Linked DNA regions of Macaca mulatta. The protein of the gene in region 2 purifies or fractionates together with the protein of the main gene of each other region. This does not show direct contact. Links are inferred from orthologs where the notes say so. Each region holds a gene or a part of one and is shown on either strand. Other genes may lie near its edges.

Region 1 (4,104 bases), on a different chromosome or scaffold from region 2:
ACCTACAAGTCTGTAAATAGCTCCCTCATTGGGACTAGCTGTGTAGTAAGGTTGTCAGAGGTCTTAAGGAGCTATAGAGTGGGACATGTTAACTGTAGGTAAAACCAGTAACTGTCAATTAATGTTACTTGAGAGACAGTAGACACCACCAAGACAACCACCACCCCCAAAAAAGAGATCACCCATCAATGCCTAGAATTCTCTCACCAGTGCCTCACTCCTTTGGTTTAGGCATTTGTATTTCCTACCAATGCTCTTTAGAGGGATACCAAGTACCAAAAGTTGGGGGGTTTTTTGTTTTTGTTTGAGACAGGGTCTTACTGTGTCACTCGGGTTGGAGTGCAGTGGCATGATCTTTGCTCACTGCAACCTCCACCTCCAGGGCTCAAGCGATTCTCATGTCTCAGCTTCCTGAGTAGCTGGGATTACAGGCACCTACCACCATACCTGGCTAATTTTTGTATTTTTAGTAGAGACTGGGTTTCACCATGTTGGCCAGGCTGATCTCAAACTCCTGACCTCAGGTGATCAACCCGCCTTGGCCTCCCAAAGCTTTGGGATTACAGGCATGAGCCCTCAAAAATGTTTTCTATTATGAGTTTGCCAAACTATTTTGTGACAGGAGAACTGGACAATACAAGTGAGAGTACTAGGTAACCTGATAAGAAAAAGGCTGGGCTCGTTGGCTCATGCCTGTAATCCAAATACTTTGGGAGGCCAAGACAGGCAGATCACCTGAGGTCAGGAGTTTGAGACTAGCCTGGCCAAAATGGTGAAACCCCATCTCTACTGAAAATATGAAAATTAGTAGGCGTGATGGCAGGTGCCTGTAGTCCCAGCTACTCTGGAGCACGAGAATTGCTTGAACCCAGGTGGCGGAGGGTACAGTGAACCAAGATCACACCACTGCACTCCAGCCTGGGCAACAGAGGGAGACACCGTCTCAAAAACAATAAAGAAAAGAAAAGAAAAAGAAAACACAGGAGAGAAGGGAGGAAGGATTAAACTGTAGAGGGCTGTCGCCACCCCTGGGAAATGTAGTTAACTAGGACCACCTGAATCTCCTGATCACCCAGACAATGGGTGTTCAACAAAAGCTTAAAATCTTTCAAGACAATATCACAGCCTCTTATAACAGTTCATCTTGAGAGAGGACACAATGTGTCAAAAGGGAGAGTGCTAAGATCTAATTCTCCTTCAACAGTCTAGTGACCATGGGCAAGTTTCTTGGTCTAAGCCTTAGTTTCTTAAATTAAAAAATACTCTAAGGTATTAGAGTCTCTAATGGCTCTTCTAACTATAAAAAGTTATATATTTCCATAAATCTTCCATCATGTTTGTAATGCTTTTTTTTTTTTTTTCTGAGACAAGGTCTCACTCTGTTGCCCAGGCTAAGTGGAGTGGCCCGATCGCGTCTCACTGCAACCTCCATCTGCTGAGCTCAAGCCATCTTCCCATCTGAGCCTCTGGGACCCATGTGGTCCTGGGAGTAGCTGGGACCACAGGTGCACGCCACCACACCGGCTAATATAGTGCTAATTTTTACAGATCAGTTTAACTTTTCTGTTTTCTTTTTAGTGAAATTCCTCAACTTCCTCTATATATCAAAATTTCTTTCCCCATTTTTCTCAATGCCCTTGATCCCACTTTCCCCATGCCCTTTTGTCACTTGCATTCCATCATTTCCTCACATGTTCAATTTCTCACTCTATTGGCTCCTTCCCCCGACATGCTCTTCTTGCCCAACCTAAAACTGCCACTTTGTGACTCCTTGGGTTAATGTCTCTTTTCTCTCCTTCTCAAAATTAACCTCTTCCTCCATTCACGTTCCAAGGTCTTATCTTTTTAGCCAGTACTTTTTTTTTTTTTTTGCCTGTAAAGATGCCAAGGCCTGGCACGGTGACTCAAGCCTGTAATCCCAGCACTTTGGGAGGCCGAGGCAGGTGGATCACGAGGTCAGGAGATCGAGACCATCCTGGCTAACACGGTGAAACTCGTCTCTACTGAACATTAAAACAAACAAACAAAAAATTAGCTGGGCGTGGCGCTACGCGCCTGTAGTCCCACCTACTCGAGAGACTGAGGCAGGAGAATCGCTAGAACCCGGGAGGCAGAGGTTGCAGTGAGCAGAGACCGCGCCACTGCACTCCAGCCTGGGCGACAGAGCGAGACTGTCTCAAAAAATAAATAAATAAAAATAAAATAAAAACACGAAAAAAGAGCTTCTAGCGCTCTTCTCTACCCAGTACCTCCCGCCCCAAATACGATTCAATACTTCCCACAAACGAGCGTTGTTGGTAATGCTTGTTCCGCAAGGGGACGTAACGATCCGTATTTCCTATCCCCGCCTTACACTACAGTCTGGAGGCAGTATCACTGGATGAAAAAAAGGCCAGTAACAGCAGTCTAATCTCCCACAAACGGGCCAGGGACAAATTTACCCTACAGACACTCAAAACACAGTCTACCCTAAACACCATCTACTCAGATCCCCGTTTTCCAAGCACCCACGGCAGAACAGTCGCGGCTGTTGCCTGGAAGGGGATCTATTACTATAGTACAGACCCCAACCAGGACCCTCACCACTCCCACAGCCAGCAGCACCAACTCACAGCCATATTCTGTTGCCATCGTGGGCACCCCCTTGATGACGCCACAGCCGCCCCCACGCACCTGATTGACCATCCCCGAAGCTATGAGGTGGCCTAGCACTAGCCCAGCGCCGTTAGGCGCGGACGCCGGGTCCCAGGGGTTGGCAGCCGCCATGGCTCGGACTCACCTCCCACGAAGGCGCCAAGAGTGAGTTGGAACGCAGGGCGAACGCACGGCGCGACTCGATGACGTCACAGGGCGGTCCCGCCCGGGGCTAAGCCGGGGAGCGCATCCCGGCTACTGCGGGTCCTGGGTCTTCACCTGCGGAGCCATCCGGCAGCTGAGCGGTGGGAGGCGAGTCCGGGGTTCCTTGATCTTCCGTAGGCTCCCAGAGGCGCCTGGCCTCCGCAGAGCTGCAAAGGCGGCAGGGCTTGGTGGTCGGGCTGTCTGTTCTTCCGTCTCTTCCTTGCCACTCTTGGGTCGGGCCCCAGGAGCCAGGGATCGGCGGGAGATGAGAGCTGGGGCGGGAGGCCGACCGAGTGGACTGGGCGGTGACAGCTGCGCTTCCTTCCCGCAGGGACCTGAGCCGCGGTGCTAGGATGGGAAACAGTGCGCTCCGCGCTCATGTGGAAACGGCGCAGAAAACTGGTGTCTTTCAGCTTAAGGACCGAGGGCTGACCGAGGTGAGAATGGGAGGGACACGACCGGGAAACTTAAAGGGAGAGGGACGGCGGGGGCAGCGAACTTAGTCGGTGCGGGATTCTCCACGCTGTGAACTCCTTTCTCCAGTTCCCCGCAGACTTGCAGAAGCTCACGAGCAATCTCAGGACCATCGACTTGTCCAACAACAAGATCGAGAGCCTACCGCCTTTGCTGATAGGAAAGTTCACTCTGCTGAAGAGCCTCTCCCTGAACAACAACAAACTGAGTATGACTCTTGCCTGGGAGGCTTTTGCTAGTGATAAGCTGTTACCAGGGGTGGTTTTCTCTTACAAGCTGATTTTTGTTTTCGTTATGAAACCGTGCAGGAGGGCTCAAGTTGCAGAATGCCGGAATCCTTGAAGCCTTCTTTCTACTTGTAATTACATCAAAAATAAGCCTCCTTGGGTGTTATAATGATTGTTACTGGGTTAATTTGGACTTGAAAGGGAAGAACATTTTGGGGATGTAATGTAAACAAAGCTACCTAACTTGGAATGGGGGATGGATGGGAAGGGGAGGATCTTCCAAATATCACAAAATTGCTGTCAAATTGTGCCTTGGACCCCTTTACAAAAGGAGTCCATTATACACACAAATGCTCACCTGCATTTTGATGGCACCCTCACCTTCTAAAGACTATGTTGGTAAAATGCAATACCTAAAAATGGCACATGTGGGTATTTTACATATATTAACAAGAGGCGAAGCAGGCTGCCATATAGTCTTTAGAAACTTCATCAAAGTTGTTTTCAGCTCTATCAGATTCAGGTTTTAAAAACATTTTCTTTGCCAGCTGTTCTGCCTGATGAG
Region 2 (4,013 bases):
CAGGGCCCGTCTTCCTCTGCTCTGGTCTCATACTGATGCCCACAGCGCATTCAGCTCTCTGACGGGGCCCAGCAGGCTCGCCAGAACTCCAGCCCTACTGCTTTCTGGGCATCCCGCAGACCTCTCACACCTGCTGTGTCCCAAACTGACCCACTCCTGCTGCTTATTTTTACCATCCCTACCTGGTGGTGTGTCTGTCTCCCCACTGAACTGTGAGCTCTGTACAATAGGGACCAGGGCTGTCGTGGTCACCATGTTGTCCCCAGCATCACCCAGCACAGAGTCAGCTCCCTGAGTTTATGGAATGGTAAGCACAAATGAATGGGAAAATGCATGCCAGGGAAATGTTAGGGTCATACTATCTGCCCCTACCCTCCACTCAGACATGGGACACCTGTTTCTGAAATCAAAGAGCAGTAAGTCCAGGATCTCATTCCCTGGTTCCAGTCCTCCTAGGCTGCAAGTCCCATTTTGTCAACAAAATAAAGGGGGCGGGCACGGTGGCTCACACCTGTAATCCCAACACTTTGGGAGGCTGAGGCGGGAGGATCGCTTTAGCCCAGGAGTTCAACAGCCCAGAAGCTGAGACTAGCCTGGGCAACATAGTGAGATCCCATCTCTATTAAAATAAAAATGTTATTTTTTTGTTTTTGTTTTTTTGAGACAGAGTCTCGCTCTGCCGCCCAGGCTGGAGTGCAGTGGCCCGATCTCAGCTCACTGCAAGCTCCGCCTCCCGGGTTCACGCCATTCTCCTGCCTCAGCCTCCCGAGTAGCTGGGACTACAGGCGCCCGCCACCTCGCCCGGCTAGTTTTTTGTATTTTTTAGTAGAGACGGGGTTTCACCGGGTTAGCCAGGATGGTCTCGATCTCCTGACCTTGTGATCCGCCCGTCTTGGCCTCCCAAAGTGCTGGGATTACAGGCTTGAGCCACCGAGCCCGGCCTAAAATAAAAATGTTTAATTAAAAGAAGAAGAAGAAAATAAAGGGAAGCATCAAGGACTGTTTTGCCTCTTTCGGGTTAGCTGGTAGTGAGCGAGAGAACGAGGGAAGGCGGGCGGGGCCGCCGTCTCTCCACGCCCTTTTCATTTCCACTCAAGGAGACCCACCTGGGAAGAGTGAGCGCTGCAAGACCCAACCTTACCACGCTAAGGTTACTACGCAGCGCCGGAGCCCGCTGTCTGCCCGGCAACCGATGACGTCCTGTTGGCGCGTCCGTGGCGTCAGAGGCGGGCGCCACACTTGAAGAGGCTGAGGGAGGCGGTGGCGCAGCTGTGGCGCTGTCATGGAGCTAGCGCGGGAAGCGCGGGAACTGAGTTGCTGGGCGGCCGAAGAGATGGGGGTGCCCGTGGCAGCCCGAGCCCGGGAATCGACGCTGCGCAGGTGAGGACCGCTCCTGGAGTGAGGACTCCCCACCCTGGAGATTGAGTCTCCGGGAGTGAGAGCTCCACCCCTCATTGAGGACTCGACCCCCCATTCCCCATCGAAAGTGACCCGAGTTACTGAGGGCTCCCTGCCCTGGGAGGCTTCCCAGAGTGAGGTCCCTAGCACTGGTGAGAATCCTCCACGAGTTAGTGAAGATCCCTCTCCGTATGGAAATAGGATCTCCAGGGTGAGGCTGTCCCCGCAGCACCTCCCCTTCCCACCCTTACCCCAACCAAAAAGGACACTCAGGAGTTAGCCGTGGCCACCCCATCGGGATTGAATCTGTAGGAGTGATGCCCCACATCTGGCCATGAGATGGCACTTCCTGGCAGTACATCCCCCACCTCCACCTCTGAATGTGACTGGATAACCCTCTCCCAGGAGAAAGGGAGCCCTCGCCACTCACCCCCACCCCCACCCCCATCCCCCACCCCCGCCTTCCCGGGGAATGAGAATACCACCATACTTAGTGCAAAGATCCAGTCCCTACAAAAAAAATGTTTTACCAATTAGCCGGGTGTAGTGGTGCCTGCCTGTAGTCCTAGCTGTTCTGGAGGCTGAGGTGAGAGGATCGCATGAGCCCAGAAGGTTAAGGCTGCAGGGAGCTATGATCATACCACTGCACTCCAGCCTGGGCAACAGAGCGAGACTCTGTCCCTAAAAAAAAAAAAAAAAAAAAAAAAAAAAGTTTGGGCCTTCCCTCCCCAAGAAGTGAGAACTCCCTAATAAAGACTCCCTACCACCATCACCTTGGGAATGAGGATCCCACACCCTGTGTGCTGCCCCAGGCATACGCTTACACACTGTCCCCACAGGCTGTGTCTGGGCCAGGGGGCTGACATCTGGGCCTACATCTTGCAGCATGTGCACAGTCAGAGGTAAGTTGGGCTAGAGTAGGGGAGGGGGCACAGGTGAGGTCCGTAGTAACTCCTCCTTTTGCCTCTGCACTGTAGGACTGTCAAGAAGATCCGAGGAAACCTACTCTGGTAACTGCTTCTTAAAGCTATCCCTTCCTATCCCCACTCCCATCTAGCCCTGTCCTCACCACAGCATCACACCTGTTGCCCTCCCCACTGGAAGCCCCACTCATCCACTGACTCTGGTCTCATTTTCCTAGGTATGGCCACCAGGACAGTCCACAGGTAAGAAGCATATGCTGCAAGATTCTCTTTCATCCGAAAAATGATTTGTAGATCTCCTGTTCTAAGCCCAACCAGGTGCTGGGTGATGCTGGGGACAATGGGTCACAAGATAGCCCTGATCCCCATCCTCATAGGGCTTAAAGTCCAGTGGAGATAGCATTAGCTCAGCTGGGAGCAGTGGCTTACACCTGTTATCCCAGCACTTTGGGAGGCTGAAGCGGGCGGATCACCTGAGGTCAGGAGTTCGAGACCAGCCTGTCCAACATGGTGAAGCCCCATCTCTACTAAAAATAAAAAATTAGCCAGGTGTGGTGGTGCACACCTGTAATCCTGTCTACTTGGGAGGCTGAGGCAGGAGAATTGCTTGAACCTGGGAGGCAGAGGTTGCAGTGAGCCGAGATCGCTCCACTGCACTCCAGCCTGGGCAATGCAGTGAGACTCTGTCCAAAAAAAGAAAAAAATATAAAGAGATAGTATTAGCTGGGGGCAGAGAGGTGGGACATGGATATGTGGCATCAAAGCTGCTGAGAAGAGATGGAGGGACAGGTTTGGGAGAGATGCTGAGGCCAGTGTAGGACCTAGTGGGTGTAAGAGGCTCATATGACACCTGAGGGGAGGCTTCCAGGAGTCCTTGGGACTTCTAGGTGCAGGGCTCCAGGAAGAGATCAATACTGGGACAAAGATGTGGTTGTCATCAGCACAGACAGGAAACAGGAAACAGGCTGGAAGTATGGGTAAGACAATCCTAAGAGGAAGGAGGGAGCCAGTACCCTAATGCTTCTGCATCAGACACAGAAACTGCTGAGCAAAAACCCTTTGCCACCAGTTGAGGAGCCTGGTACCCCCAAAAGACAGGCCAGGCTGAACCCCGATCAGACCGTGCATCTCACCCTGAATCTGATCCTCCCAGGTCCGTCGGAAGTTAGAGCTGGAAGCTACCGTGACCCGCCTGCGGGCAGAAATCCAGGAGCTCGACCAGAGCCTGGAGCTGATGGAGCGAGACACTGAGGCTCAGGGTGAGCCATGGGGCCAGAAAATGGGCAACAGAATGTGGGCCGGGAAAGGTGCTGATGGCCACCCTTGTTCCTCCTACAGACACAGCCATGGAGCAGGCACTTCAGCACACTCAAGACACCCAGCGTCGAGCTCTCCTCCTCCGGGCCCAAGCTGGGGCCATGCGAAGACAGCAGCATAGGCTCCGAGATCCCATGCAGCGGCTGCAGAATCAACTGAGGCGCCTGCAGGACATGGAGAGGTGGGCCTCAGGGACCCACCCTCACCAGGCTGGGCAGCCAGACATTCTCTTAGAGACCTCAGGGCTCTGCCCCGATCCCTTCTTGGGTTCCAGAATTCTCAACTCCCACCATTAGGATGGAAGGTCCATGAGGCCAGGAGGTTTTGTCATCTCAGTCACTTATATTTCCAGTGCCTAGAATAACAGCTGTATAC

The links. Proteins that work in one complex are often made in the same cells at the same time.
Region 1: the proteins of HAUS5 (region 2) and HAUS2 purify together in Homo sapiens (affinity purification with mass spectrometry; 5 studies listed by BioGRID and IntAct, with this or other methods). This does not show direct contact. The link is inferred for Macaca mulatta from reciprocal best matches to the Homo sapiens genes HAUS5 and HAUS2.

The regions. Positions count from the first base shown.
Region 1 is NC_133412.1:19,954,400-19,958,503, reverse strand, and holds the start of HAUS2 (HAUS augmin-like complex subunit 2), read right to left. Parts: upstream 2,802-4,104; 5' UTR 2,767-2,801; coding exon 2,674-2,766; exon of another isoform or gene 2,619-2,673; coding exon of another isoform or gene 2,613-2,618; intron 1-2,612. Other genes in the region: LRRC57 (leucine-rich repeat-containing protein 57), read left to right, coding at 3,192-3,275, 3,382-3,520, 4,088-4,104.
Region 2 is NC_133424.1:46,872,871-46,876,883, forward strand, and holds the start of HAUS5 (HAUS augmin-like complex subunit 5), read left to right. Parts: upstream 1-1,201; 5' UTR 1,202-1,282; coding exon 1,283-1,380; intron 1,381-2,237; coding exon 2,238-2,300; exon of another isoform or gene 2,301-2,345; intron 2,346-2,375; coding exon 2,376-2,408; exon of another isoform or gene 2,409-2,424; intron 2,425-2,539; coding exon 2,540-2,564; intron 2,565-3,424; exon of another isoform or gene 3,425-3,474; coding exon 3,475-3,580; intron 3,581-3,659; coding exon 3,660-3,819; intron 3,820-4,013.